Cricetulus griseus: one gene and its partners. The protein of the gene in region 1 interacts with the protein of each later gene in a pairwise test. Links are inferred from orthologs where the notes say so. Each region holds a gene or a part of one and is shown in the gene's direction. Other genes may lie near its edges. The genes, in order: ras association domain-containing protein 1, Akt1, Suv39h2, Map2k3 and Stk4.

Evidence for each region.
Region 2: the proteins of ras association domain-containing protein 1 (region 1) and Akt1 interact in a protein complementation assay, tested with the Homo sapiens proteins (2 studies listed by BioGRID and IntAct, with this or other methods). The link is inferred for Cricetulus griseus from reciprocal best matches to the Homo sapiens genes RASSF1 and AKT1.
Region 3: the proteins of ras association domain-containing protein 1 (region 1) and Suv39h2 interact in a two-hybrid assay, tested with the Homo sapiens proteins (2 studies listed by BioGRID and IntAct). The link is inferred for Cricetulus griseus from reciprocal best matches to the Homo sapiens genes RASSF1 and SUV39H2.
Region 4: the proteins of ras association domain-containing protein 1 (region 1) and Map2k3 come close enough for resonance energy transfer, tested with the Homo sapiens proteins (2 studies listed by BioGRID). The link is inferred for Cricetulus griseus from reciprocal best matches to the Homo sapiens genes RASSF1 and MAP2K3.
Region 5: the proteins of ras association domain-containing protein 1 (region 1) and Stk4 interact in binary tests that used the Homo sapiens proteins (3 or more experiments, as listed by UniProt). The link is inferred for Cricetulus griseus from reciprocal best matches to the Homo sapiens genes RASSF1 and STK4.

What each region holds. Positions count from the first base shown.
Region 1 is NC_048597.1:215,731,815-215,738,285, forward strand, and holds the start of ras association domain-containing protein 1, read left to right. Parts: upstream 1-2,246; 5' UTR 2,247-2,282; coding exon 2,283-2,532; intron 2,533-3,677; exon of another isoform or gene 3,678-4,434; coding exon 4,435-4,541; intron 4,542-4,641; exon of another isoform or gene 4,642-4,864; intron 4,865-5,018; exon of another isoform or gene 5,019-5,127; coding exon of another isoform or gene 5,128-5,274; intron 5,275-6,471. Other genes in the region: Zmynd10 (zinc finger MYND domain-containing protein 10), read left to right, coding at 1-79, 177-277, 558-730, 964-1,089, 1,172-1,293, 1,414-1,539, 1,631-1,706. UniProt on the Homo sapiens protein: Potential tumor suppressor. Required for death receptor-dependent apoptosis. Mediates activation of STK3/MST2 and STK4/MST1 during Fas-induced apoptosis by preventing their dephosphorylation.
Region 2 is NC_048598.1:181,380,133-181,386,585, forward strand, and holds the start of Akt1 (RAC-alpha serine/threonine-protein kinase), read left to right. Parts: upstream 1-2,165; 5' UTR 2,166-2,280; intron 2,281-5,307; 5' UTR 5,308-5,397; coding exon 5,398-5,443; intron 5,444-6,453. UniProt on the Homo sapiens protein: AKT1 is one of 3 closely related serine/threonine-protein kinases (AKT1, AKT2 and AKT3) called the AKT kinase, and which regulate many processes including metabolism, proliferation, cell survival, growth and angiogenesis.
Region 3 is NC_048596.1:220,774,162-220,780,653, reverse strand, and holds the start of Suv39h2 (histone-lysine N-methyltransferase SUV39H2), read left to right. Parts: upstream 1-2,367; 5' UTR 2,368-2,493; coding exon 2,494-2,524; intron 2,525-4,803; coding exon 4,804-4,949; intron 4,950-6,492. UniProt on the Homo sapiens protein: Histone methyltransferase that specifically trimethylates 'Lys-9' of histone H3 using monomethylated H3 'Lys-9' as substrate.
Region 4 is NC_048600.1:74,937,138-74,941,716, forward strand, and holds part of Map2k3 (dual specificity mitogen-activated protein kinase kinase 3), read left to right. Parts: intron 1-2,410; coding exon 2,411-2,550; intron 2,551-3,463; coding exon 3,464-3,509; intron 3,510-4,074; coding exon 4,075-4,158; 3' UTR 4,159-4,579. UniProt on the Homo sapiens protein: Dual specificity kinase. Is activated by cytokines and environmental stress in vivo. Catalyzes the concomitant phosphorylation of a threonine and a tyrosine residue in the MAP kinase p38.
Region 5 is NC_048599.1:15,427,866-15,433,591, reverse strand, and holds part of Stk4 (serine/threonine-protein kinase 4), read left to right. Parts: intron 1-2,452; coding exon 2,453-2,567; intron 2,568-5,726. UniProt on the Homo sapiens protein: Stress-activated, pro-apoptotic kinase which, following caspase-cleavage, enters the nucleus and induces chromatin condensation followed by internucleosomal DNA fragmentation.

The sequences.
Region 1 (6,471 bases):
AACAGGCTGAGATGATGGAATTTGAGATCTCACTGAAGGCCCTCTCGGTACTTCGCTACATCACAGACTGCGTGGATAGGTGGGCCACCCACCAGGGCCTGGGGCAAACAATAAAGGGCTGCCCCACTTGGCCTGTAGCTTCTGCTGACCCTACCCCTTCTCCCGCCTCCCTCTAGCCTCTCCCCGAGTACCTTGAACCGCATGCTCAGAACTCACAACTTGCCCTGCCTCCTGGTGGAGCTGCTGGAGCACAGTCCCTGGTGCCGGCGGGAAGGAGGTAAGGCCTTCCCCCACCTGCCTAAGACCTAACTGGCTGCTTCCAGAACATCCTTCAGGGTTAATGGAAGTGGACAGCCGCACAGTGCGAACATTGAGGATACCAAGGTGGTCTGGATTTTTGACTCTGAAGCAGACAAGTCCCGTGGACTCACCTTGTTTGACAAGTCTGGCCGCCCAGGCTTCCTGTTCTCAACCCTCCAATCCACACACTCAAAGAGAATGCAATGCCTGCGTCCAGTGAGCTGGTTCTCCTGCCTTCTCCCCCACCCCACCCCCAGGCAAACTGCAGCAATTTGAGAATGGCCGCTGGCAGACAGTGCCCCCCTCAGAGCAGCAAAGGCTAAATAAGCTGGATGGGCAAGTGTGGATCACCCTGTATAACCTACTGCTCAGCCCTGAGGCCCAAGCCCGATACTGCCTTACAAGCTTTGTTAAGGGACAGCTTCTTAAGGTGAGGAGCTCAATGGCTCTACCCATCCCCCACTGCCACCACCACTACCCTGCCTCACCCCCATTGTATCCCTGCCTGTCCCTGTCCTCTTTCCACAACTTGGACTTCTTGTGACATGGGAACTGGTGAGACATAAACCTTCCAAGTACACCCAACCCAACTTGGGGACTCCCTGTCTCTTGACCCTCTGGCCAGGACTTGTTTCCCAATGGCCTTCCCCGGATGCCTTGCAGCTTCAGGCCTTCCTCACGGATACACTTCTTGACCAGCTGCCCAACCTTGCGGACCTGAAGGGTTTCCTGGCCCACCTGGCCCTGGCTGAAACCCAGCCCCCTAAGAAGGACCTGGTGTTGGAACAGGTAGGCACCTCGAAGGTTAGTTGCTCGGGACCATGATCCGCTTTGCCAGTTCCTTCCTCTCCTCTCTATTACATTCTCTTAGATCCCGGAAATCTGGAATCAGCTAGAGCGAGAGAACAAAGGCAAATGGCAGGCTATTGCCAAGCACCAGCTGCAGCATGTATTCAGCCCCTCAGAGAAGGACCTTCGCCGGCAGGCCCAGAGGTAAGGTGTGCTGCGTGGCTCAAGACGGGTGCATAGGACATAGAAGGCATGGCCATGGCGGGAGGGAGTGCGTCTGTGCCCCTACCTGTCATAGTCAGATCTTCTTGGCCCCTCCCCCAGGTGGGCTGAAACCTACAGGCTGGATGTCCTAGAGGCAATAGCTCCAGAGAGACCCCACTGTGCTTACTGCCAAGCAGAGGCCTCCAAGCGCTGCTCCAGATGCCAGAGTGTGTGGTATTGCTGCAGGTAAGGGACCCCCGAACCTTAATCCCCCTAAGTTCCAACCCTGAGTCCTCCCACAAGCACTGTCATCCTCACGCTGCCCACACCCCTGCAGGGATTGCCAAGTCAAGCACTGGGAGAAGCACGGAAAGACATGTGTTCTAGCAGCCCAAGGTGACAGAGCCAAGTGAAGGCTGCAGCTTCTGACGGCCAGAATGTGACTCTGAGACTCGGTAGTTCTGCCTGGCTCCTGTCAGACCTCAATTTCTCTGGTGGTGAGCACAGCTGAGCCAAGTAGCGCTGCAAACCACCACCACCCGACAAACACACAAGCAAAGGCTCTTCGCTTCCTGCCCCACCCCACGAATATGTAAAGAAGAGAACCAGGCCTCAGCATCAGCAAACTGGCAGACAGGGTTGGGGGACGTACGAAAGGGCCGGATGTGCAGACCCTTTTCCTTTATCACAGTAAAGGGGACACGAAACTCATCAGTGTGGAGCTTTGCAGTCGTCGTTGGGGGCTGGGGAGGGGAGCTGGGGCAAGGACTGAAGGAAAGCCTGGGAAGGGGCTCTTGGAAAGCGCCCGCCCCTGTGCCCCGCCCCGCCCACAAGTGCACACTGTGGCCTCTCCTCGGTTTCCATTGCGTTCTCCTCCTCTCTTTCCCGCCGCCCTGCCTTGATCCTGGGGGCGGTGCCGAAGTGGCGGCCCCGCCCTGCGGCCTCGCCCGCTAGCGCCCAGTCCGCTAGAGTCCCGGCCTGACCGGGCCATGTCGGCAGAGCCAGAGCTCATTGAGCTACGGGAGCTGGCACCGTCTGGGCGCATCGGCCCCGGCCGGACCCGGCTGGAGCGTGCCAACGCTCTGCGCATCGCGCCGTGCACAGCACGCAATCCCTCGCAGCAGCACGTCCCGGGGCGCGGCCACCGCTTCCAGCCTGCGGGTCCCGCCACGCACACGTGGTGCGACCTCTGTGGAGACTTCATCTGGGGCGTCGTGCGCAAGGGCCTACAGTGCGCGCGTGAGTAGCAGCCCCACACAGCCGGCGATCACGGAACGGGAGGTCAAAGGCAGGAGCACCATGGCTGCGGGTCAAGTGGCAGCGGAGGGGGTCAGCAGCGATGATCCTGCAGACCAGGTCCCGTTACCTTGCCCCATCAGGGAGCGTGTTTGAGAAAGTGGTTTATCACGGTGTCACACTTCGTCCGTGCCTGGCGCACAGGTGGGCACAGGCAGATGTCTGTAAATAACAAGGTGCTGGTTCCAAGCTCTTTAAAGCGCCAGAACCCTTGAAAAGTCTTTGTGCCTACTGTGCCCTGTGCCTATATTCCCAGGTCCTCCTCTTCCAAAGGATTGGCACTGTGTTCCCCTCCAGATTCTTGGGTGACTTCACCCACATATGACAGGGGGCCAGAAAAAGTTACCTTGGTTGGGCTCCTTGTAAGTAGGAACCTTGTTGAGTCTTTTAGTCGAGGTTTGAGTCAGTGATCCAGAGGCTAAAACATGAACACAACCACACGCATAGTGGTCCTTCTGACCTGGGGATTAGCCGCAAACGGAAGTTAGACTCACCCGGGATACTTTATACCCTCCCATCGCCTTATGTCTAGACCTCTCAGGCTTCTTGAGTCCATTATTGAAAGTGGACCTTAGGTATCGAGGGCTTTGTTGTCGTTCCCTTTTGTTGTTGTTGTTTTGAGACAGGGTCTCACTATGCAGCCCTGGCTGGCCTGCAACTCTCTATTCAGACCAGGGTGAAACAGAGGTCCACCTGCCTCTGCTTCCCAAATTCCCATGTGTAGATGGAGCTGAGAATCAGCGCTTCGAGCCATATGGGAACTTAAGGGTGGGCTGTAGGCCTGTGCATGCCTAGAGCTCATTCATTCACTACCCGAGTATGTCACAGGTTCAGCTAGTGAAGAACAGTCATTTGTGACAGAATACCACATAGAAGCCTGGGCTGTGATACTGCAACATTTTCAGATAGAAACAAAGTTGCTCTGGAGGTGAGAAACCAGACAGTTTGGATGTCTGACAAGAGGTTGGTAAGGGAATCAAGAATGTGTAGGGTTTTGCTTCAAATAACTAGATGGACAGTGGTAACTTTTGCTGAGATAGGAACCCAGGGGTGAGTGGCAGTGGAAGAAAAGTGAAATTTTGGTGATGTACGTTTGAAATCTTTATTAGGCATTAAAGTGAAGGCACTACATGTAGGATTTGTCCTAAAGAGGCAAATCAGGTCCGCCTTGGATCTGGATCAGGTGAGTGTAGACAGAGCTGGGACAGTATCCAGATGAGGAACCTGGACATCAATTATTAGACCTGGGAGTCGGAACTGATGAAGGGGCTAGCAAGGAGCTACAGAGAAGCGACAAGAAACAGCTAGTGAGTGCTGTCCCTGGGAGTCAAAGGGAGCAAGCAACACAGATTTAGGACGGAACGACCCTGCTAACGTATACAGAGGGCAAAACATTAGATGTGTGCTTTGGGGATTGGCACACATCTGTAATCTTGGCACTTGGAGCAGTTGGAGGCAGGAGGATCTCCCGACTTCAAGGTTACCATTTGAGGTTAACCTGAACTACATGAGACCCTTTCTCAGAAAACAAAATAGGCTTGTGTAAACAAGTGAAGAGGCAGATGACAAATAGAGGAAGTCGTAAATTAAACACTTTTGTTTTCAAGTTAATGGCAAAGTGAAGTAGTAGCTCTGCGGTAGATAGGCAAACACAAGTGTTGAGCAGGGTAACAGCCTGAGGCCTTCCAGGCAGTTTCCAAACGTGCTTCCAGCATCTGTGTAGCAGTGGGCGGCAACCGCGTTTGAGAAAAAGCCAGTGGAGCCCAAATCTGTCGGGCAGAGGCTCCCTCAGTCTGTGGGTCACTTGGCCAAGCTCCTCCGCCTCACCGTCAGCCCTTTCTGCAGACTGCAAGTTCACCTGCCATTACCGTTGTCGTGCGCTCGTCTGCCTGGACTGCTGCGGGCCCCGAGACCTGGGCTGGGATCCCGCACTGGAAAGGGACACGAACGTGGTGAGCTCGGGGTCGGGGTGGGGGGAGTGTGGGCGGGGAGGGGACCTGGGGCTCGTCAGCCCTCCCTCAGGGGAGGTACCAGGCGCCGCACACAACGAACCTCCCAATTACCGATTTCCCGGCATCAGGGAGTCCACTTCTGCTTGTGGGTCTGTCAGGAGCTGACTCCACGCAAACACCACGGCCCACAAGCCATTGGCCGCGAAGTCGCGCCCTGGCACGCTACACGCGCACTTCTCACACCCCGCTTCCGGCCCTGAGGCAACGGCGGTGCACATGCGCGCGCGCACAGACACTTCCCTCCCTCTGGGAGGCGGGGCCGAGTGGAGATGCCTCAGAGATGAGGTCATTCCTCGGGGTGTAGCGTTGTGTCCCCGCCCCTCGCCCCTCCCACCATCGCCCCCCCCGCCGTACCATCAGCTCCAGATTCTGGTTGTCTAGCCCTAACGGTCACCGCGCGTTGCAGGCCTCTGCGCAAGCGCGTACAGACACGCTCACACGCACGCACGCACGCACGCACGCGCGCGCCCGGGGCGGTGGTTGGAGGCTCCGCACGCAGTGGACCAGGGATCGGGCGGGCAAGGCGATGGGTGAGGCTGAGACGCCTTCCTTCGAAATGACCTGGAGCAGCACGACCAGCAGTGGCTACTGCAGCCAGGAGGACTCGGACTCGGAGCTCGAGCAGTACTTCACGGCGCGGACCTCGCTGGTCCGCAGGCCCCGCCGGGACCAGGTGGGAGCCGCCCCGGGGCGGAGGGGGGTGCGGCCGGCCGGCCAGCCGGCGGGTGAGGGGCGGCCGCTCGAGCCCCGCCCGCCCCTGCCCGCCTCTCCGTGAGCCTCCCGGCGGGGCCACACGGAAACGGCCCCGGGAAATGTGTGTAGGGCTCTGCTCCTGGTTAAGCCGGGGTCCAGCGCGCTGGAACTGAGTACCCGGGCTTCCCTGGCTTGCGGTCACAGACCGGTTGAGCCAGGGCAAGCAGCTGCGAAGCTTGGGTGGACCCCAGGCGGGCGTTATTCACCCATGACTAAAGCCAGCCTCAGCCCAAACCCGCATCTTGATTTCGCATTTGGGCGCTCCTACTCCCTCCCTGGGGGAAATAAGGAAGTGGAGGAGGAGTCCGCCGGGAAGTGAGAAGTTTGTTTGGGAGGGGACCCTGTCCCTTCCATTTTCAGTCTTGGATCAGCCAGTAAAGTCCCCAGCCATTGCTGGGCCAACTCTGACACCAGATGCTGGGATGTAGACAATTTTCCGATCTTCCTTAACTTTGCTGGGGGGGGGTGCATAGTCAGATAGATGATCTTTGCCTTGGACTTTAAGCATTAGGAGCGGGAAGACTAACTGTAAAGTGTACTACCAGGGCAGCTGAATCTCTCTTAGAGTCTCCTAGATGTGCCACATTATCAGAGACTTTTCTGGGACTGTCGTGGTTGTGACCACCACCCTCAGATAATTTATTCTTGAACCTGAATACCTCAAAAGAGCACAGAGGCTGGGGCATCGGGAGAGTGAGGTGGAGACCGAAGGTTAGTAAACTTAGCAGCAGCGAAGTAGAATTCCTTATTTGAGCCAAAAAAAAAAAAAAAAATGGAGTTGTCTGTGGTGGTGGTGTAGGTGAGATTTTGCTACAGATTTTTTTATAGATGGGCTGCTACTTGACACCCAAAAAACTTTAGTCCAGACTGTAGATTCAGTGTGGGCCCCTGGGACTGTCTCCGTGCCACGCAGCCTGAGTCATCTTCTCTTATGGAAAGGTGGAAAAAACACAAGGTACTAGCCAGTTGAAAGGTATATGAAGAATTGTTAAAAAGCAGCTGAAGTTTGTAGCAAGTTCAGTTGGAGGATACTTATCTAGCTTGCATGATGGCCTGGCTTCCATCCACAGCATCGTTAATGAACTAAAATAAATAAATAGATTAATAGATAAATGGG
Region 2 (6,453 bases), on another chromosome or scaffold:
TTTGACTGGTTATATGAGTTATTTCCTAAATCTGGTAACTGCCCCCAAGGAACCTAGAGGCACGCTACATTAACCCAGACACAGCACAGCTGAGGGGCTGCAGAACTCGGCTGTCCCCAACCTAGGAGCCTTGCCTGAGGAGGGCCAGTTCCCTCCTTTGACTACCCCCTACTCTGGCTCAGCAGGAACCCCGTATCATGGGGTTCTCAACCTTTCCTGATGTTGAGACCCTTTAATACAGTTCATGTCTTGGTGATCCCAAGCCATAAAATTATTTCTGTGGCTACTGCACAGCTTTGCTATTATAAATTGTAATATAAATATCTGTTTTCTGATGGCCTTGGGTGACCCCTGTAAATGAGTCTTTTTGAGATCCGAAGGTTGACAGGCACTGTCCTATAGCCTTAATAACCCCCATTAATATGGAAATCTAGGATCTATGAAAATTAACTTTGGAGAGTGAAATACTATAAGGTGATAGGCCTTTAGTTCTGGAATGTTCTTTCCTCTCAAAGTCCTCATCCGTTGCTGATTGTGTGCTGGTTGGTCACCCTTTAGCTAAAGTCGTCCTCCCTAGTCCCTCCTGACCTGCAACCCTTTCTCTATTCCTGTTTAGCCCTGTGTAGGCAGTCAAAGGTTGTCAGGCAAGGTGCACCCCTGTTTCTTTGCCGGGGGGCTTCTGTGTACACCGATGGATGGATCCTTGGCCTGCCACAGAATGGTTTTTGAGAAAATGATGGCTGGATGTTGGTGACACCAACCAGCCCCCTTGTCCCTCTTCCTCCACGTTGGGCATTGAGCAGTGCCCCAAATCCTGGCCCCTTGCTTGCCCTACATGGTTTTTAGGGCAGAGAAGTTGAGTACAAAGACAGCGAGCTTCTGCCTGCGGGACCTGGCAGGCCCACGGGGTCACCCCATATTGCCCCGGCCGCTCCATCATCTGTGTGAGAACCTTGGCACTCCAAGATCCTGCTCCACCAGCCAGTGGTCTGTGGCATAGAGATGACAGGAGGCTGTCAAAGTCCCAGTCCAGGGTACAAGCAAACCTCTCCAGCTTTGGGGTCCCACCCTGCAGCCGATGCCCAGACCTCTTAGCGCAGGGCTCAGGCACTTGAGTCCCTACCCAACTGCCAGCTGCAGGAGGTGACAGGGAAGACCACCTCTGTGCCTGGGGAGGGGGTCAGGGCCACTGTTTTTGTTGGAGACATCTGGCTGCAGAGCATATCACTGGCAAGTCGCGGTAAGGCTCGCTTCTGGTCTGTGGCTCTGCCTAGGAGGCCCAAGAGGGGTGTGGCTAAAGTGTGGGCCCAGAAGAGGGCCTTGCGCCCTCCGTCCGCAGGAAGACCCTGGGCACGGGGAAGATAGAGACACAAAGAAGGTAGGGACGGGTACTGCCTAGAAACGGCTCATCACAGGTGGGAGTGCTGCAACAGTGGCTTCCAGAAAGAGCACCCAGAAGATGTCAGTCCTTGGAGAACAGTCTCCAATTGCCATGTGTTCCACAAGAGGGCGCCCTGCTGGCTCGCAGTGGCCACTCCCCACTGCCCAGCACGGGGATTGGGGAAGCAGGGGAAGAGGACCAGGGGGCCTGGGGTGAAAGTTTGCTGGGTGAGTGATGGATTTGCTCAGTCTCCGAGGGAAACCCTCAGGTCAGGGATACAGCTGGAGCAGCACAGACCCGCCGGGCTTAGCGCCCTGGAGGTGCTCAGAGCTGGGGCAGCTGTGCTGCAGACAAGCAGAACAGACCCCCTACCCCCCACCGCTCCCGCCCCAGGAGTTGTGCCCCCCGCCGAGAGGACAGTTTTCCCGGCGAGGGGTTCGCTTCATAAGTCAGTCCCCGAGGCAGAGAAGGAGCGACTCCATTCTGGACTAGCGCTAGCATGGAGTAAATCTATCCTGTTTACACTCCAGGTGAACTCTGACCCTTGGATTAAAAACAAAACAAAACAAAACAACAACAACAAAATGCCCCCTCGGAAAAAATACCAAAGACCTGGAGGTAAACTCACAAAAGGGTTATTATCAGTTCGGGCCTCAGGGACGAGGGAGGGGCTCTGCTGGGGCAGGAACTGCTGGGGCAGGCTGAAGGGGGAGAGCAGAGGGTGGGTTAGAGGCCACCTTGACTCTCCAATTCCGGGACACCATAAGGAACCGCCCCCCCCCGTCCTCCCGCCCCCCTCCCGCGCCTCGCCCATCTGAGTGCACAGCGAGGTCTTGGCTGACTTGAGCTCTACCCCGGGGTCTGCCCCCAACAGCACACTGGCCCCCCTGGATGTCCAGGTGTGTCCCCGTCTCCCTGTCACCGCAGGGTGCCCGTCAGTTTCCTTGGCCGACAGTCCCGGGTTGAATGAGCCCCCAGCAGCCTTCCTTTCTGGGTGGCGTGTGTGGCCTTTAGGACACCGGTGGCCCGGCTCGCCCGGCTCCCAACAAGGGGACAGTTGGGCCTCTTGGGAAAGTCAGAGCGATCCGCTCGCTCCGCACGCCCGCCCCGTGGGGTCTGGAGAGCCGGACCGACAAGTGCCCGGTCGTCCAGCGACGGGGAAACCTGGGCCAGGGCCCGGGCTCTGGATCTGCGGCGGCGGGGCTCCGTTACCCGCGTGGCCCTGGCTCGGGGCCACCCGAGGGCGGCGCCTGCGGGGCCGCGCTCGCGCTCACGGGGCGCCTCGCCCTGGCCGCGGCCGCGCCGGGGGCGCCCGGGGCGGCGGAGGCGGATGTGGGCGGGGCGGCGCGGCGCGGGGCGGGGAGAAGGCGGGCCGGCGGCGGCGGCGGCGGCGGGCGGCAGCACCGAAGCGGCGGCGGGCGGCGGGCGGCGGCCCAGCGCGGCAGCGCACGCGAGTCCCGACAGGCGGAGCGGACCGAGCAGCGCCCGGCGGCCGGCACCGCGGCGGCCTAGACCCGGCCAGCAGCGCGCGCGCCGGCCGCCGCTGCCTCCAGCCGGCCCCGCCCAGCGCCCGCCCGCGGGATGCGGAGCGGCGGGCGCCCGAGGCCGCGGCCGGCTAGGCCCCGTCGCCCGCACGCGCGCGGCCGGGTGAGTGCCCGCGCCGCGCCCTGTTCCGGGCCGCGGCCACCCCGCTTTGTTCCCGGCCGCGCCCGCCTGTTGGCCGAGCGAGGCCTGAGCGCGCGGCGGGCCGGGCGGATCGCGCAGGAGGCCCACGCCGGAGAGAGTGCGGGGCGGCCGCCGCGTGACCTTGGGTGGCCGCCCCGCGGGGCCAGGCCGCGCGCGGGAGAGGGGCGCTGCTGGCGTGCGCGCAGTGGGGGCCGGTGCGCCCCGGGGCCTGGGGCTGTCTGGGCACTCGGCCAGCGAGGGTAGGAGAAAGGCTCGCCCCGCGGCCTGCGTGTGGTGGGAGGGCCCTGGGAAGGAGAACTCATTTCCCACGGACAGAAAGTTGTGCGCGGTGGCACTGTGCCCAGGCTAGCCCACAAAGGACTGCTAGCCCTCCTGGGCCCGGAAACTGCTTCCTGGAGTAGGTGGTTTCTGGAGGTGCTGGGGCCTGGAGGACGCGTGGGCTCGACCTTTGGGATCCCGGATACTGGCCGAGCTGATGGATTTGTCTAGAGGACTGGTTTCTAAGTTAGGTGGTGGCCGAACCTTGCTCTGCCCTGTGGCCAAACTCCTTCACCCCCCGCCCCCCATCCCCAGGCCTCTGGTCTTGCCCCAGGTGGCTAGCCTTGACTGCTTAGAGCCATCACTCAAGTGAAGGGCGAGTCGCCTTGGGGCCCCAGCTGGGCGTGTGGGCCCAGTGTCCCAGAGGGGCTGAACTCTTCAGACTTAACAATAGCAACCATATGCTCTTATGGCAAGGCGCTCCAGGGTCGTGGAGGGAAGAAGGTCCCATGCGCAGGGCTGATTGATGTGGACACTGGTTAACATCGCTGTGCATATGAACTTATTTTTACATGGCTCTGGACAGCTGACTGTCACCAGCAGACCTCGGGTCTGGGTGGGGGTGGGGGTACATCCAGAGAGAGGTCTTCCAGTCCAACCCTCTACCTCCAGGCCACACCCACTTGGATAGCCATCATCTGGGGTTCCTTCTTGGCTTATCTTTTTCATCCTGGCTTTCCATTGCCACCTGCTTGCTAAGGGTAGGATGTTTTCCTTCTTAAGCCAAGTGTGGTCTTTCCTCCTCTGGCATTTGGCATTTGGCACACAGCAGGGCCTTCCTTTTGTTCCACATTTAGCTCCAGACAAGGCAAAGTGACAGTGACTCTGGGTGCTAGCTTGTGCCTTCTGGTCTAGAGAGGTGACCTAGGGGGTTGTCTGGGTCAGCTGTAGTAGACAGACCCAAGTTGGGATCTATTCCACAGTGGTCTTCTGGTCTTTCCTGGGCCTGTCCACAGGAACCCCAGGTGGAGGGACAGCATAGGCTTGCTGGGAAAAAAAAAAGTGTCCAAATGCACTTTCCCAGACTTGGTGACATGAGAACAGGGCCTTGAGGGATGCCCAGGAGTCCCTCCAGCAGAGAAGCAGTGCCAGGGGGAACTGGCAAAGTGTGCTTTGACTCTGACTCTCTGGTGGGTCACTGCAGGACCCTAGGTTTTTGTATGTTGCCTGCCTCTTGTGTGGGCTGAATGCTGTAACTGTGGGCTGCCTAGAAGTCTCTTTGTCCCTGATATAGAGTGAAGGTTTGGCAAACCCATAGACGCCTGGTACATGCTAGCCCAATGAATGAAACACCTTCAGGGGAGCAGGGTGCTGTGTTTGAGAGGGTCTGGGGTTTCACCTGGGGAGGTTTTTAATGTTTCCCCTTCAGACTCTGGGCTTTGCTTTATATCCATTACCTACTCCACCTGTGCCTCTGAATGCCTACACTCCTGTGTTCCTAGTCCGAGCAGGCAGGAGCCCTGCATTCTGCATTAGGCATCCTTGGCTGTAGGGGTGGTGAGAACGCAGGGACAAGGACAGTGAACGAGCACCCCTCACTAGTGTGGGGCCCAGCAGAAGCCAGCAGTGCTGCCTGGAGGAGGTGGACTGTTTGCTAGGGTAGCAAACTCAGCAGCTGCCTCTCAGGAAAGGTCTGGGCGTGGAGTGTGTCCCAGCAGAGGCCAGGGAGGTTCGGGTTGGCCGCAGCCTTGCATCCCAGACTACCAGGCCCGGATCTGGGCACAGCATCTACTGGAGATGGATCTTATACTGCTGTGTTTCGAGAGAAGTCAGGCAGGCTGGCAGAGTAAGGGTGAGGAGGGAACCTGGGAACCAGAAAGGGGTAGATCGCATAAAGGGACGTGGGTAATTGTGGCCGGGGCTCATGAAAGCTGAGACCCCAAGCAGGGCCTTTCCTCACATACCTTCTTGGCTTTTTCTAGACGCTGCGGCCAGGCCGGCTGGGCTCAGCCTGCTGAGAAGATACACTGAGCATCCCTGGGTTACCCCGGTCTCTGGGGGCCACGGATACCATGAACGACGTAGCCATTGTGAAGGAGGGCTGGCTGCACAAACGAGGTCAGTCCCTGCTCTGTGGGAGACGTAGAGCTGGGCCTGGGTCTGCCCAACCACTGGGTGTGGAACTGGGTGTGTGGAGGGAGACGGCTGTACTGCCCTAGTAGGCTGCTTTGAGGCCATATCAAAGAGTGCTTGTTGTGTCCAGGCCGGCTGGACAGGAGCCGCACCTCCCCACCTTGGGGCTCTAGGCCTGCTACAGGAGGAGTGTGCAGGCCCAGCTTTTCCCATAGTATGGAGGTCATGGCCTCCTCCTGGGGCCTCTTGGCCAGAGGCTGAGGCCCTGTGCAGGGCCTGCTTTGCCGGCTTGGGGGTGGGGCCAGCTGCTGCAGCCTCGTTCCTGGCTTTCCTGGAAGGCAGCAAGGACATGGCTGCTGTTCCAGGGCTGGCAGGCTGGTAGCCTGGGCACTGCCCAAGGGTTCCTGAGGGCAGGCAGGGCAGGGCTGCTCCGCTTGGCCCTGTGCCCACCTCAGTCCTGGATTCCTGAAGTCAGGGGGCTCCTCATCAGCAGGGCCCCGGCAGGGTCATGTTGGCCTTAGAACTGAAGGGCTGACTGGCTCTCTCAAGGCTCAGGGTCCCTCACCTTCCAGCTAACCCACCAGCTGCCTTCTGCCAGGAGTAAGTTTCAAAGCTACTTCTCTAGGACAGTCACTTGTGTTTGCCCCAGGCAGGCATCTCAGCCCCTCCTGACTTCCTCTTCCTGCAGACCTGCTCCCACCGGAAGTACTAGTGATCCTTGCCAATGCTAGCCACCCCTCCTGCCCCTCCTCCTGGCTCTCTAGCAGAGGGAGTTGTGATCTTGGTAGCCAGAGAGGACCCAGATACAGAAGAGCGTGGGGACAGAAGTTGGTGTTAGGACATGAGGTGTTGTGGGGTATGCAGAGCTCCGGCAGAGTAGGCCTGAGGGGCTCAGGAGCTAAGGGAGGTGGGGGACGATGTCTGAGATGCAGACTCGAGGGGACCCTGGGAGGGCTCAAGCAGGGATGGAAGCTGTGGTCACCTGTGATGAGAAG
Region 3 (6,492 bases), on another chromosome or scaffold:
GATTTTCTTCAAGTTAGTCAACAGATTTTAAAAATATTTTTAAAATATAAAAAGTAATTCATAGGAATAACATTTTATAAAAATAACTTTCAAAGCAAAAGATTTAGCAGCAAGTGTGATATTGTATATTTTTTTAAGTCTCTTAATATCCAGCTTAACCAGGAAACAGTTACATTTTGATATATGTTTTCCTCTGTCAGTATATGATACCAGTTCTATGAATTCTGGAAAACTCCAGTACACCAATGAGAAAAAACGAAGAGGGCAAATACAAGGCTTCCTTGGTGCCATTTTGTGACAAGGACATGTCTGAGAATTGTGTTTTGTGGCTGGCTATTGTGTAAACATCACAGAACACTTGTAGAGCTGGTTTACCAGGATACAAAGTTGTAACACAGTGTAAGACTGCAGCTTTGTGCTCATGGATTTCTGGAAGGGTCTCAGATCCACTCTTCCATACTCTGAGAATTGATGTGCTAGAATAGATATAGACACTGATGGCTGCTGAAATGGCTGGGTCTACTCTGTCTACTCTATGCCTCCAAACTGATGGGATTCCTGATGAGATAAACAAAGCAAACACTTAATTTATAAAATTGTAACTTATAAAAAAAATTTTCAAGCCAGGCAATAGTGGCATGCGCCTTTAATCCCAGGACTCATGAGGCAAAGGCAGGCCAATCCTTGTGAGTTCGAGACCGGCCTGGTCTATAGAGTGAGTTCCAGAACAGCCAGGGCTGTTAACACAGCAAAAACCCAACTCAAAATACAAACAAACAAAAAAAAATCTCAGTGTTGTGATCAAACCCTAAGCCCTGGATATATCAGAAAAGCACTTTTCTGCCCAGCTATCCTCTGCCCCCAACTTCCTTTTTTAAAGTCTTATTAAAACCTAGTAAGACTAAAAATATTCTTTCAATTCTACAGACACAAATTTTGATAAATGCTTTTAAAGCAGGGATAGAGACAGAGTGCCTTTAGAGGCCTCTCAGAAGAAGTAACATTTGAGTTAAAACCTAGCTAATAAGAAGATAGCCACATGAAACGGAGGAGAGTTTGCCCTTTGGGCTAGACAGCGATTTCCAGGTTAAAGTGTTTATTTAGAGCAGGGAGTGTCGGCTCACACCTGTGGCCCCAGCACACCAAGGTGGAAGCAAGACCAGGAAGTCAAGGTGATTCCCACATACAAAGCAAGTTTGAGCCCTGTCCCCAAAAAGACTCCAAGAGGACACTGTTTCCTTTCTTGTTTAGCAGGTGCCTGGCACATAGGAGATACACATGAAAATATTTTTGAATATGCCTATTATATTTGAATTGTGTGTGTTGTATTTGAATTGTGTAAGTATAATAGTTGAGTATATGAAAATTTGAAAAGCCATAGAACATAGTGGGCAAAAGGGAGAATGGTTCAAAGCAAGTGAGAAAAACAGACTTCTAATCACTGGTGGTCTCATAGGCACCGGAAGATGTGCTATGCGGTGAAGTACTTAAAGTTGGAGAAGGGTTATGTTTCACTTTATGTTTTAAAGCTACTTTAGCTCCATGGGAAGTGGCTACAAGGGGAGCAATAGCAGAGGTCAAAGCAGTTAGACTTCTTTGACTGAGAAATGATGGTGTGGATAACAGTAATAGCAATGAAAATAGAGAGGAGACAGGCAGTGTGCGTTTGCTATTAGCACTGACGTGACTTACCAATGGAATTACAGAAGGCTTTTGTGTATAATGGTTCCCTTACAACTTTCAAGATTCACAATGGTGTGAAAATGATAAGTGGCCCAATTCTCCCTGAGTGTAAATGGCTAAAAACTGAGCAAAGCTTAAAGCTGTTAAGGAGGATAAAGTAAGTCCTAGTTGTAAATGTACCTTGTAAGTTTGCTTTAATTAAGCTCAGCTGTTGGCTGGGTTGGTTTTATTTTGACAACTCTCAGCGCCTTCCTTTGGATCCAGCTGCTGCACGGCCATATCAACTCAGCAGACTCTCCTTGTGTGATCCAAACAGACCACTTAGATCCAAAGTGAGGCCACCTGCATCCAATTTTGAGATCCTGCTCTGCAGAGGCGGGGAGTGAAAGGAAAAGCTTGCTTGGGTTCAAGCGCTAAGGAACAAGAGTAGGAAAGTAGCTATCTGTGCACTCTAACCCACACAGCACATTTTGCATCTTATAACGTGCGTGCCATGCCTTTGGGACGAGACTCAGAGCACCGAACAGGGAGGGAATCCTGGCATGCAGCCTTTAGAGTCAAAGCGAGGACCATACCAGGAGGGGCGGGGCCTGTCGGCAGGAGCTAGTTGTGACCCCGCCCCTTTGTGCCCCCCCCAACGTGCCGCGCATGCGCAGTGGCTACTACGGCTGGGGTCAACCTCCACTGACGTCAGGACGCCACACTGCTTCCAGCCTCCCATCTCTGGAGTCCCTCGCGGGCCGGGGCGGGGCGTCTGGCCAGCTGAGCTCTTCGGGCTGACCGCGCCAGTTTGAATGAAAGCTCCGCAAGATGGCGGCGGCCGGAGCCGAGGCACCGAGAGGTGAGACTGGAGAGCGGTGTCACCGGCCGCCAGGGCCGTTCCCGAGGCCCGAGCCCAGCCGGACGGCGGCGATGTGGGCGGGACGCCGCCGAGCGGACACCCCGAGCGCCGTACGCTGGCGGCGGGCTACGGGCCCGGGACGCGCCGGCTCCGTGCGAGCGTGGTTCCGAAAGTCCCGCGGGCCCGGGTCCTCGGTGGCGAGTGTGCGCGCCCCGCCTCTCTGAAGGGTGAGCCGGGAAGCACGCGCGCCGCTGCCCTAGCGGTCGCCACCTTCGCGCGGTGGGAGCCGGGCTGAGGTGCGCTGCCCGCGTACGAGCCGGCCTGGCACCGCTGCGAAGTGTCTCCCCTCGAAAGTAGATGTCTGCACACACAGCCCTGAGCTCCTGGAAACTTTGGGGGGGCCCGGCTGGAACTTGTGGGTTATTTATGTGGGTGTGCGGGGGGGCGGCGTGTGTGTTGAAAGTAAAGCATTCTGGAGTGAAAAAAAAAAAAAAAGGTTGTTCTCCAGCTAGCTTTTTCCTCTGCTCCACTCAGATGGTGACACTTTATTATCCCCGTCACTCGACTTCCTTGAGGTGTTGCGGGGGTGGGGTGTGGTGGAAGGATTTTATAAGCGGGATGTCATAAACTAATCCGGACAATGAAACTTTTTTTTCTCCATCATTATAGGCTGTGGAATTTTGTAAACCAAGGGTTTGCAGATTAAAAAAGAAAAAAAAAATCCCGAAATGCTCAAAATGTAGCATTTCTGTTGAGAGATGCGTCGTACTTACACATAATGGTCGTCATTATGACATTTTCATTCGAATACGTGTGTTACCGAATTCAACACCACTCTCCGCTATAGGGTTGTGTTTTTGGATTCTCAACTAGGAGTAAAAAATTTAAAACAAACACCTTGGGTACATAATAACCAACAGGTCTCTCCTTTACAGATGATTAACATAAGGAGATTAGCCTTACACAAAACAGCCTTAAGATTTTTGGATGGAAGCGATTAAGAAGACGGTTTTTATACCTGTCCTACCCCCAAACCACCACACCTAAACAATGTATTTTGGCAAATTTGAGGAAAAGACTTTGCCTTTTACGAGTGCCAGAAATACGAGTCTTTTCCATTGATTGGAGTGGGGAAATGATGCTTAACAATTTCCTTTAATGAAGTCCTAACGGGGGAGGATGATGAAGGGATGTGGGGAAGTTAAAACAGTCAGGTTCTCCTGTCCCTGAAATCTACCTCAAAACGTTTGCCTACTACCTTGAAGAACTATTAAATACAGCATGATGAACTAATGATACATTTTGTTTGGTCACTTCTTTTCACCACTCTCACTTTTTCTTTTCTTTTCTTTTCTTTTCTTTTTTTTTTTTTCAGTGAATGTGATACCCAGAAAGCTTGAGCCCTTCCTAAAGTTGTGTAGCTAGGTGGCCCACCAACAAGTAGGGTGGAGGGCTTTTGATCATCTAGTATTAGATTCCCCTATTAGACGTACAGTGAAGTTTTACATTTTCTAGACATCATTTGTGCAGTTATATTTTAAATTTGGGATGGAACACAGTTCATTTCTGGCCTGTGTAAGGTTATTGTTAGTATGTCTGACTTTCTTGTTTATGGATAATTTACTTTGAGTTTTCTGTTTTGTAACTGCTTGCTGGCTTTAAACAGTCCAGGAAATGGCATTATAAAGCCCAATATACAATATAAAATAGAAAAGTAGATGTTTCTATTTTATGCATGTTGATAATACATTTCACCATGGGCAAAATAAATGAGACTTGTGGTATTCCTGAAATGGGCAAAGTAGGATATGGATTTAACTACAGAACTATATTTCAGATTTAAAATCTTACTGTGTGATTAAAAGAAGCAAAGGTTACTTTTAAATTGTGATTGTTTTAGAATATATTTTAGATACATTTCTAATAATATGTCTTAGCTGTTTATTAAGAGAACAGTTACATTCTGTGTAGAATATAATGGAACAGTAAAAAAAATTTAGCTCTTTTCATTTTTGCATTTATAGTAATCTTAAGTAAACTTAGACATGAAATATTTTAAGTGGCCAAGCAAGAATTAGCCTTTGCCAATAGAACAATAGGATAGAAGTTCAATTCATCAAAAGTAGATCTTTATCACGTAACTTTTTTCTCAAACACACATAATTGGCTTCTTGTCATGTTCGTTTCTTACTATAAAATTGTCAGTTGGGAAGTTTTTAAGTTTTTGTTTCATCCTAGTAGCTATTTTATTAGTAAAGAATTCTATTTTCTTATTGTAGCCTGGTGTGTGCCTTGCCTAGTTTCACTTGATACTCTTCAGGAATTATGTAGAAAAGAAAAGCTCACATGTAAATCGATTGGAATCACCAAAAGGAATCTAAACAATTATGAGGTGGAGTACTTGTGTGACTACAAGGTAGTAAAGGTAAGGCAATATCTAGCCCCTTGAAAGAGACCTATTCACACTGCAGTATTTCATGTTTCTCTAGCATAAAAATAGACTTAAGAATAAACAAAGCTCTTCTTTCTGTTTAAGGTTGTAAGTCATAGACTTTTGTGCATTGTCATCATTTTTGTTGAATAACACTGAGGGATTATGAAGTATAAAGTGCTCTTGCATTAGAATATTTAGGGTATTTATATCATCCTACATCCAACTCTTGATTATCTATCTCCATATGGATTTCCAGAGCAAATGTTTTATGTCAGATTGACTTTCACTGTAATTCATGTTGTTCCTGGATCATATTTCCCATAATCACCTGGAAGGAACCTGAGGTTACAAGCCAACTGTAGAATTAGTGAATGTCCTCCAGAAGCATCACAATTTATATTTCCTGCCAAACTCTGTGTTATAAGTTATGGCATGATAAAATGGTTGGCTGTCATGGTCATTTCAAACCTTTGTTTCATATCTTACAACTTCAGCAAACTAACTTAATTGCTTTGTGCTTCCCTTCATTAATCTTAAAATGAGTTGTTCTAAGAAGCTCTTTGATCTAAAGCCTGTAATTGTATTTTTTTGTAATTCATTTACTTGTAGCTTCCTCTGAGAACTGGCCATTAATCTCAGTTCTTGCAGATAAACAATCAAGAATCCTATTTAATGTAATTTTTCCCCCATCTTTGCTGAGCCTTTCAGTAAGTCCATTTCTTCTTTTGAATGCCTGTTTTCCTGTGGTAGCATTGTCTTCCCCTGCAGAAATCTTAGTCTAGCCTCTCAACCAACACTCCCAGCACCCTAAACTGATCAGCCTAGCTGAGAATATCATCTGAACATATGCATTAGCTCTATTAAAACATACTTTTTTTAAAGATTTTATTTATTATGTATACAACATTCTGTTTCCATGTATATCTGCACACTGGAAGAGGGCACCAGATCTCATAATGGATGGTTGTGAACCACCATGTGGTTGCTGGGAATTGAACTCAGGACCTCTGGAAGAGTAGTCAGTGCTCTTAACCTCTGAGCCATCTCTCCAGCCCTAAAACATACTTTTAAACTGTGCCTGGTTGCACAGCTAAATAGGAGACTCACAACAAGTTCAAGCCCATCCTGGGCAACTTAGACTCTTTATAATTTATTTCTAAAAAGGCTGTTAAAGGGAACTACAGGTCAACGGCAGAGTATTTACTCTGCATGCATAAAGTCCCAACAATCTCTCCACCCTGGGGGTGGGAGGGGGCAGACGGACATGGGACGGGAAACAGGACACAACACAGGACACACCAGCAAAAACCCAAATAAACCCAATTTCTACATTCTCATATTGCTTAGTTCTACTTAACAAGATTTTAACCTGTTGCTTTTTTTTTTTTCTTATTCATAGCAGTGGTTTTCCTAATATTTATTACTATTTTGGACCTTTTTCTCTCCCCTTTCTCACATTCAGCTGAAGACTCCGGCCTTCTGCCTCTATGAATATAATCCTTTAGCATTCAATATACGTTCACCACTAGTTATC
Region 4 (4,579 bases), on another chromosome or scaffold:
ACTCAAAAAAAAAAAAAAAAAAAAAAGATTGAGGGTTTTTTTTTTTTTTTCTTCCACACCAGGAACCTGTTGCTGTAGGCTCCTGTTGTATTTGTCTATGCTTAGGCTCTGTAGGGTGAGGCTCTGGATCCTGGCCCTGTGAAGGCTGAAAGGATCCTTGGCTTGGAGGGAGGGCCAGGGGCCAGGCTATGAGGATTGAGTTGTACAGATAAATCTAAGTCCAGGGTGTAGGGACGGACCTCTGCCTTCTTGAACTGCCTCACAGAAAGTTTTAATTCACCTATTGATGTGATAAAACACAATAACCAAAAGCACCCTGGGGAGGAAAGGGTTTATTTTGACTTACCCCTCTCAGATCACACCCCTTCACTGAGGGAAGTCAGGAGCATAGCACAGTAGAAGCCATGGAGGATGCTTATCGGCTTGCTACTCCTGGCTTGCTGGCTCTGTTTTGTTACATCACCTAGGACCACCAGCCCAGAGGCTGAGCTGAATACCTGCAGTGAGCTGGGGCCTCCCATATCAATCATCAATCAAGAAAATGCTCAAGCTTGCTTACAGGCTTTTCTTAATTGAGGTTCCCTCTTCCCAAATGATTCTAGCTTGTGTGGAGTTGACATAAAACTAGCCAGCACAATGTTACAATGAAGTTGAATTCTTTGAAGATGGGCACTTTTCTACTGCACCTGTGTATGAAAGTGCCCTGGTACCTTAATTCTTGATATAGCAAGAACAATGTATCTTTAGTTGCAATGACCTTTAACAAAAAGAGACATTCTGACCACCAGGGGTCAGTTACCAAAACATGCTGCCCATTTTCTTGGTTACCGCATGTCTAGTTGTTTTGAGACTCTTCCCATGGTTGATTGCAGGACTTTCAGGTAGGACATTTTTGTTGTTGTTGTTTGTTTGTTTTTGAGACAGGGTTTCTTTGTGTAGCTTTGTAGACCAGGCTGCCCTCCATCCGCCCGCCTCTTCCTCCCAAGTGCTGGGATTAAAGGCGTGTGCCACCACCGCCTGGTGACATTTTGTTATTTTTACGGAGGCTTTATCTTGAAGGCTGGACCAAGGTTTTACAATAGCTTTTCAGGCTGCAGAAACAGGAGCAAGGCTTAGGCTGTCTTCTAGATTTTCTAAACCTATTCCTCCAGGTCCACCATTCATATTTGTCTTTGGCCCAACATTTCCACTTAAAACGCTGCCATCCCAGTGAGCAGTCACATAGTATTCCCCTTGGTGGGCTTTGGCCTCGGGAGCTCTGGGCACACACATTTTCTGTCTCAGAACACAAGGGGTTACCCTCACATACACAGGTCACACTCAGGACGGTTCTCAGCCAGGAAGGAATGTTGTCCAAGTGCTGATCTGAGTGGGGTCACCATTTCCATGGCTCTCCCAGATATTCAGCTGTTATAGGGGGGCTAGCTCCCGAGGCTGGTCAGTCTTTTTGTAAATAAGTTCCTGTGATAGATGCCTTATGAATCTTTGTTGCTGAGGCAGTTTTTATTTATCATTTTCTAAGCTTTTTAGAAAAAAAGATCATCAGAAAAGATGGTTGAGGCCCAGGCCCTGGTACTTTTGGTTAGGTATATGGGTGCCACTGAGCTTTCTCTTTCATAGTCTGCAGAGAGGACCCACCGTAGATTCTGGAAATGCTGTGGCAATACTGAATCTGCATGGTTCTGTCCTCTGGACAGGCACACAGGCTGACACACACTCTCCTCCCACCATGCTGTTCTCATGCTGGCTGGAAAGGCCTGGGGACTGACAGGAAAGCCCCTTCCGAGCTTGTTTTTAGTGCTCTAACTAGTGCCAGTTGCGTTCTTTTGAATGGTGTCTCTTCTATTCCTTATGGTGGTTACAGCCTGCCATACCAGTGAGGAGGTATCCATGCAGGAGAGTCTGACTCTGTTGTCCCCACTAGTAAAAGCAACAGCCAGATAGGTGGCCCTGACTACTAAAGTCTGTGGTAGGGAGGTATTGGAGAGCGAGTAGCCGGGGCCACTAGGGACTAGGACTTGACACAGTGAGGTACTCTGCTGACTGCTGCCTTGTGGGAAGGTATCTGTGGCTGCCACTCCTCATGTTTGGCACAATATCTGGAACCCAAGTTGTTAGATGAAAATCTTCCAGTTTTAGATTGTTTGAAAAGACAGTGGTGATCAAACCTAGTCTAGCCTAGGGCTAGACTTAGTCTGAGCTAGCTCTGCTAACCTGGTCAGAGGACCTTCATACCGGCATCCCAGTAGTTGGCCTACTGCTAGGTGTGAGGGCAGTCAGTGACAGCACCACTGGCCTGGTCTTGGGTGCTGGGGAAGGATGGCTGGGTTCCTTCCACTTTGTGCTTCTGGGTACAAAGTTTGGGTCATCTGATGTCTGTAGCCTGCTGACTCTGCTTTCCCTATTGCAGATCGAGATGGCCATTCTGCGATTCCCTTATGAATCTTGGGGGACACCGTTCCAGCAGCTGAAGCAGGTGGTGGAGGAACCATCCCCACAGCTCCCAGCTGACAAGTTCTCCCCTGAGTTTGTGGACTTCACCAGCCAGTGGTAAGTGTCTGGGTCTTGTCCTTTCCTCCTGCATCATGTAAACCCTTGAGCTACATGGTATCAAAAGGTAGGAAGTAGTGACAGCGCCAGTATGGACAAAACCCTGAGTCCCAGTGGGAGGTTTTAGTTTAGATTTCCCTGAAAAGGATATATCAAGTAGACTCAAAGAAGGAATAGTGTGTGTGTGTGTGATAATATATATTATGGAAGACTAAAATACATAATAAAGTCTGCTTTTATTGGTGCCTAGAAGTGTTTTTTTTTTTTAACCAAATTACAGAATGTTCATGGAAGCTTTATAAAAATCGTTTTTAAAGTTATAAAAGAATAAAAAAAAAGCAATTATACAGACTGTGTTCTCTAACCATAACTAAATAACCACATAGAAAGTAAAAGTAGACTCTTGTAAATAACTCTGGGGTTATAAAAGAGATTTAGAAAATACATTTTTAAGAAGAAACACACACCAATCAATGTTTGTATGTTGTGGGTCAAGAGGTGCTCAGAGAACAAAACAAAGCCTCTCAATAGAAAATGAGACAAACAAAGCAGATGAGGCCAGTAGCAAGATTCATTGATTAGTTTCTGATTGGACCTTCATGCTCCAGAACCATTGATTGAAGTCTTCCCTTCTGATAAAGGATAATCTAGAATGTGATCGTTAGGCAGAGTGTTTCAGGGTTGGTGTCATGGACATAGTCTGGATCAGTATGGAGACAACTGGACTCCAAGAGGCAGGGAAAGTTGCTACAAGACTAGTTTGCACCCATGGACCCCAAACCACTTTTTGAGACCCCCAGACAGTCTCGTTCCTTCTCTGAGCCCCAGGAGTATGTTGCTTAATGGGCGCAAGCCCAGCCTGTCTAGATTTGCTTTCTCCGTGTGAGTCTGGCTTCACTGCCCTCTTTCCTAGCCTAAGGAAGAACCCTGCGGAGCGCATGAGCTACCTGGAGCTGATGGTGAGTATACATGGGAAGTGCCTGCCCTGCCCCCTGTGCTGTGTAGTGGCTGGGTGGAGCTGTCTGGAAGAGGGTTGCATCGAGGGTGGAGGGGTAGCTCTTCTTGCCTAGTTCCTGCACACACTTCTATAGTTTCACCTTTGTTCATACACTCAACCCAGGCCATGTGGAAAGATGCACAGTGCTGTGACAGTAGGGCAGAGGAGTCACTGTGGCATCAGAGAAAGCTTCTTAGAGGAGATGCCATTTGAACTGAGCCTGGAAGGATGGATATTGGCTTTTTGCTGATGAAGGACGGGTAGAGGATCTGGTAGAACAGAGGTCTGGTTCCCTTGAGAAGAGATGTTTGTATGGTGGGGGACTACTGCAGGAGGGTGAGACAGCGCCTCAAGATCTGATAGTTTTGGAGGGCTTCTAGGGGTAGTGGTCCTAGAAGGACCAGCAGGAAGTTGGCCAGGCAGGAGAACCATTCTGGGGTGGATAAGGCTTTGGGGGAGGGACTTCCCCTTTATACCTGCTCCTGTACCCCTCACCCCCAGAAATTGGTGCCTCTGTTTCCTACCAGGAACACCCTTTCTTCACCTTGCACAAAACTAAGAAGACAGACATTGCTGCCTTTGTGAAGGAGATCCTGGGAGAGGATTCATAGGGGACCGGCCTGGGATCTCACTGGTCTGCCAGCATCCCGTATCCCTCTGCTGGGGCAGCACTTACCTACAGCCATAAGCTACTGCCATTCTGGTCCTGGGCATTCCAGGAGGAATTGAGGGGGTTGTTCCTGTCTGGCTTGGCAACTAGCTCTCCCAAGTGCCAAAGAATCAGACCTCAGGGGGCTTCCAGCCAGGCCCACATGGGCCTTACAGTGCCTCTGCTGTTGCTGCTCCCAGGGTCTCAGGCCTCCGCCCAAAGGATGAATTTGGAGGGGCCTGTGTACCCCCTGCAGATGCTGTTGCCTCTTGAAGAGGAGTCAGCTGGTGCTTCTGTGGACAGGCCAAAGCCTTGGTACTGTCCTGGATGCCACCCAGGTTGTATATATATTTTAAATCACAACTGAATGGACTTTGTACACT
Region 5 (5,726 bases), on another chromosome or scaffold:
TTCTTTTTATCTATATGATTTTTGTTTTTACTCAAACTTCAATTTACTTTACTCAAACTCTTTTACTTGGCAAATTGGGACTATATATAAACAGTATGGAAATGCTTCTAACTGAAGTGTTTTTTGTTTTTTTTTTAAAGATTTATTTTTTACCTTTTTTTTTTTGGTTTTCTAAGACAGGGTTCCGCTATAGCTTTGGAGCTTGTCCTGGAACTTGCTCTGTAGACCAGGCTGGTATCAAACTCACAGAGTTTGTCTCTGTCTCCTGAGTGCTGGGATTAAAGGGGTGCACCGCCACCATCTGGCTATTTTTACTTTTTTATGTGTATGCCTGCATGTATGCATATATGTGGACCACATGTGCCTGAAGACTGTGGAGGCCAGAAGATAGTGTCAGATCCCCTGGAAATGGAGTTATAGACAGTTGTGAGCTGTCATGTGGGTGCTGGAATCCAAACCTAAGAGTATCATGTGCTAAGAATTGACATTTTGAAGATCCTTCTGGGTTAAGCCTTCTAAGAAAAAAAGAAAGACATGGCAGAGTCCTTGTGTTCTGAGAGTTTTGTTTGTTTGCTTCTTTGATGTATTTTTGTGTCACTGTCTTTTGAGTAAGGGGAGGGTTTCGGGGACATTTGCCTGGTTTATTAAAGCAGCTGGAGAGAATATCAGTGATTTTTCTCCAATTTTTGGGAGTTCATGGGCCAGGCTTGTATAGTTCAGGAAATCTAGCTGACAGTACAAGACTGCATAGAACATATTCCAACAGTGTGTTTGCACAATAGAGAAAGTGACTACAGGAGGCGAGGGAAGAGAGCACACGGGATTATTGTGAGCTGTATTGCTTGCACTAATGTTCATTTTATGTGCTGTGTTTTCCTTCTGTCCTTGTCACTGGTATATGTCCCGAGAATGAAGGGGCATTTGAAATGGAAAGTCCAGGAGGTCAGTGTAGTTTTAATATCTTTGGTTGCTAGGCAACCTGGTTTCCAACAGCAGTCCAGTTGTTAATGCAACAAATTGTTAAACAGAGTTTTCATTTTACTGGGGTGCTTGACTTCTCAGATATTTCTTATTTGGTGTCTCCAAATTTAAGGCCTAAAGTTCCAGTTTTGATAATAAACATTTTTCTCTTTATATTATATAGTGATGATTTTGTTACTCCCAATTATACTATGACTTTTTAGAAAAAAGAAAAAGAGATTGCTTTTCATTTTGGTAAAATCATCATCATTATATATCTCTTGGTATATCTTTCCATGTCTCTGTGGGGATTTAACTGTGATTGTTTTATAGCTTACCCTTCTCTCTCTTGTAAATAGGATGAGCGAGTGCACACAGACACACACACACACAGATACACACACACACAGACACACACACACACACACACACACACACACACACAGACACACACACACAGACACACACACACACACAGACACACACACACACACACACACACACACACACACTCTTTTTGTGTATGGGTGTTTTGTCACATGTATGTCTGTGTACCACTTGAATGCCTGGTGCGTGAGGATAGAAGAGGGCATCAGATCTCCTAGAACTGGAGTTACAGACAGTGGGAGTGCTGGAGACTGAACCCCAGGTCCTCTGGAAGATCAGGAAGTGCTCTTCACAGCTAAGCCAAGTCTCCTGTCCCAGGATATATTAAGTTATTTATTAAACATTCCTCTAACATGTTCCATGGACTTGTGGTGCTGTTATTTAAGTTCCCTCATTTTGGATGGTCATTAAAATTGTATCTAATTTCTCTTTTACCATGTCAGTAGCTAATATTTTGAGACTCTGTGATTTTTTTTTTTTTTTTTTTTGGGGTGGGGGGTTTCGAGACAGGGTTTCTCTGTGTAGCTTTGGAGCCTGTCCTGGAACTCACTCTGTAGACCAGGCTGGCCTCGAACTTACAGAGATCCGCCTGTCTCTGCCTCCCGAGTGCTGGGATTAAAGGTGTGCACCACCAACGCCCAGCTTGTGATTATTTTTTGAGGATAAATTATACACTTAATACTGTTTTCTTGTTTTGAATTTATGTTATTACTCTTAGGAAAATTGATTCCATTTCATGTTTTTATCAGGAGATTGCTTGTGTTAGTTCTACCTAGAAATAATTCATTTTTTTTTTTATAAACATTTCTAACCTTTTTTAAAAAGATTTTATTTATTTATTATGTATACAACATTCTGCTTCCGTGTATATCTGCACACCGGAAGAGGCCATCAGATCTCATAATGGATGGTTGTGAGCCACCATGTGGTTGCTGGGAATTGAACTCAGGACCTCTGGAAGAGCAGTCAGTGCTCTTAACCGCTGAGCCATCTCTCCAGTCCAATTCATTTTCTTTTGAGATGAGAAGTTACTTTCCATCATTGAACAGAATGAATTGAAATGTTTGAAGGGTGTTCTACTAATTTGTATTGTGTTTCTCTCCAGCCCTCATGTAGTCAAATATTATGGCAGCTACTTTAAGAACACAGACCTGTGGATCGTTATGGAGTACTGTGGGGCTGGCTCTGTGTCGGATATCATTCGGTTACGAAACAAGACGGTAAGTGTACCTCCTAGTAGGTGCTGCTGGCCTGGTCTTTTTGTCATTTTTTTTTCCTCAGGCCTTTTATTCACATGCTGCTGCTACACGTAGAGAATTCCTCCTTTTCCTTGGGTCTCTGGTCTTTTTACTTACCTCCCTCCCATCTCAAAGACAGACTCTCAGTATGCTCTTTTACTTTTGGTCCTTCTGTTCCAGCCCAAGTGCTAGGATCACAGGCTGTGTTACCCTCCCCATCCCAAACCTGAGGGATAGAATCACAGGGTGTCTTACCCCTACCAAGCCCAAGTGCTGGGACCACAGGGGTGTGGCACCATGCTCAATTCTCTCTTAAATGTGACAATTTGTTATTGACTCATTCCAGTGATTTTTGTTTACTTTTTATTATCAAATCATGGTTTGGGGATGAATTTTCACTTTTTTGAGACGGGATTTCATGGTGAAGAGTAACCTGGAACTGACAGTGTAGTCCAGGCTGGCTATGAACTCACACTCCTCTTATGTCATTCTCCTTACCATGCCTGGCTATTCTAGAATGACTTTTAAAAGTCCTTGTTTTTTAAAAGTTATGTGTTTGAGTAGGTTTGTGTATGTGAATATAGGCACCCATAGAGGTTGGGTCTTGCCTACCCTGCTGCTGGAGTTACAGGCGATTATGAGCCCCACAGTGTGGGTGGTGGAAATCAAGTCTTCAGGAAGAGCAGAATGTTCTCTTAATTGCTGAGTCATCTCTCTCTACCTCTAGAATGAGTTTTAAACGTTTACTTTTGAATTTGTCTTCCTATCAAGTTAGCCACAGAGTGGTTTTCTTCTACTTGCTGTTGAACAGGGAATAAGCCTATTATAAAAGAGTATTTGTTATGCCTGAGGTTGTAGGGTCAGACCTAAGAGTCATGGATTATAGTTTTCAGTTGCAGAATACTGCTGTAGGCTTTAGGGATCCAGTAGGAAGTAAAAGAGACCACAACATATGGTGATTGGCGCTCTTATGGCAGCACACCTTCTAGTAGGGAAGTAAAAGCCAGCAGGTGGCAGTTAGAGAGGAAATGCAAGGTAACAAGAAACACTCTGGAGACAATTAGTAAGGGCAGTGATAGGAATGTGGTCAAGAATCTTGGAAGGCAGAGCAGCATGAGCAGCATCTCCTGAAGGGACACTGAGGCAGGAACCAGCCAGTGTGAAGAAGACTCGGAGACTGCAGTGTGTTCGGTACGTTTGGTGTTAGAAGTGCAGCCAGACAAAGGGAACTTGAGGAGGTCTGTCTTGAGTTAGACAGGTGGGCAGGCTTGATGGCTTTGGGTCTTGTAGGTCAGGGTACTGTGGCTAAGTGTTATTCCAGGTACAGAAGGAACATGTCTAGATTCTAAGAAAGTAAGTGAGTCATCTGACATGCAATTTGAAAAACAACTCTAGTTTCTGTGTAGATTGTGGAATGGGAAATTTTAGCTCTTGGGTGGTTTCGTTTTTAATGTAAGAATGGGAATGGGCATCCCCATATTAAGTATTTGCAATGTTGTAAAAATTATCTTAAGTATGCAAAAGTATACTATAAATTATGAAGTATTACATAAGTTATAAGATGGGACTGTTTTGAAACTCAAGTTATAAATTTTGTGTCATATCATTGTTTCCTTTTCTTAATTTATGTTATTGAGAATTTGTACGTTTTCTTTATTAGACAGTAGCAAGTTCTTTAGCCAAGAGTAGTGTTCTAACATAATATATATTTATAATATATATAATATATATATATATATATATATATATATATATATGTAATATATATAGTACCAAATGGTCAGCCCTGAAAACATGTATACAAGTAACATTATACATATGGAAGAGGTTATATTTATGCATTAGGAATATTTATATATATGTGTGTGTGTGTGTGTGTGTGTGTGTGTGTGTGTGTGTGTATAACATATATGAATGTAACAACAATGAAAAAAGAGGCCATGAATTTGAGAGAGAGCAAAGACTGGGAAGCTTTGGAGAGGAAAAGAAGGGAGGAGATGATATAATTATAAGCTCAAAAATGAAATAAATAATTTAAGAGAAGTCAAAACCTTGACTAATTTGTTGATTTAAAATTGAAGCTGCAGGCTTTGTGTGCAGCACCAAGTTCTTTCTGCCCCTTCATCAGTCCAGAATTAACTATATTGGTGATTTCTGTACCTATTGATATCTTAATACTAGTTTATTAGTTTATATACTTAATTATTTTGCTCTATGTTAAAAACTATTTAGTGTGACAGCCTCTAGCTGCAGGGGGCTAGAATACTGTTTAAATTTGAAGAAATATGACCACAGAAAGATATAAAAACTTTAAATATTTATCATGATAGAACCTGTCTCAAAAAAATGATCCTGGTAGAACGACGATAATGGTGTTAAGTGAGGTTGCTGTCTCTGATGTGTGTCTGTTCTGAGGTGGATCTTAGCTTCTGATGTTTTCTAAGTGCTATCCACATGGGGTGGGGAAACCAGAAAAGAGCCCATGAGAGGGGGAAAAGTTTACTTTAAGCAGAAAATTACTGTATAATTAAATCTAAGTAGATGTTAGCTGTATTTAAAAGCTAAAGAAGTCATGATGGATTGGGTTAAGGTCTGACCACCTGTAGAGATTTTAAATTCCTGATTATGTTCTTTTAGGAATTGCTGTTCACGCTCACTTATAGGCACATCTCCTTTTTAGAGTGTTAATGGTGCTACTGAGGTGGCCCTCTGGTTGTCTGCATTTCTAATGTTGAACTGCTTCCATTGGGTTTCAGTTTTATTCTCGTTTTTTGATGCTTTCCTTCATAATTAGCTCTCATTATGCAAATTTAAATCGTAGAATAAAAGTAAAAGAAAGTAATGCCAGAAGGACAAGCTGGGTCTTGCCCATCCTGGATCCTTTTGTCCACAGCTTACTCCTGAATGTGTGTTGTTTGCTATGCTGGGAGTTAAGTGAGAGCTGGATGGATTTTGTACAGGATTTGGGTGTGATCTGCAGAGTCATCCTGTGGTCTGATGTGAAGCCCCGGGTCCAGCACACAGTCACTCTAGCCCATTGGTTCTCAACTTTCCTAAAGCTGCAACCCTTTAATACAGCCCCTCACATTGTGGTGACCCCCAGCCATAAAATTATCCCATTGCTACTTCATAACTGTAATT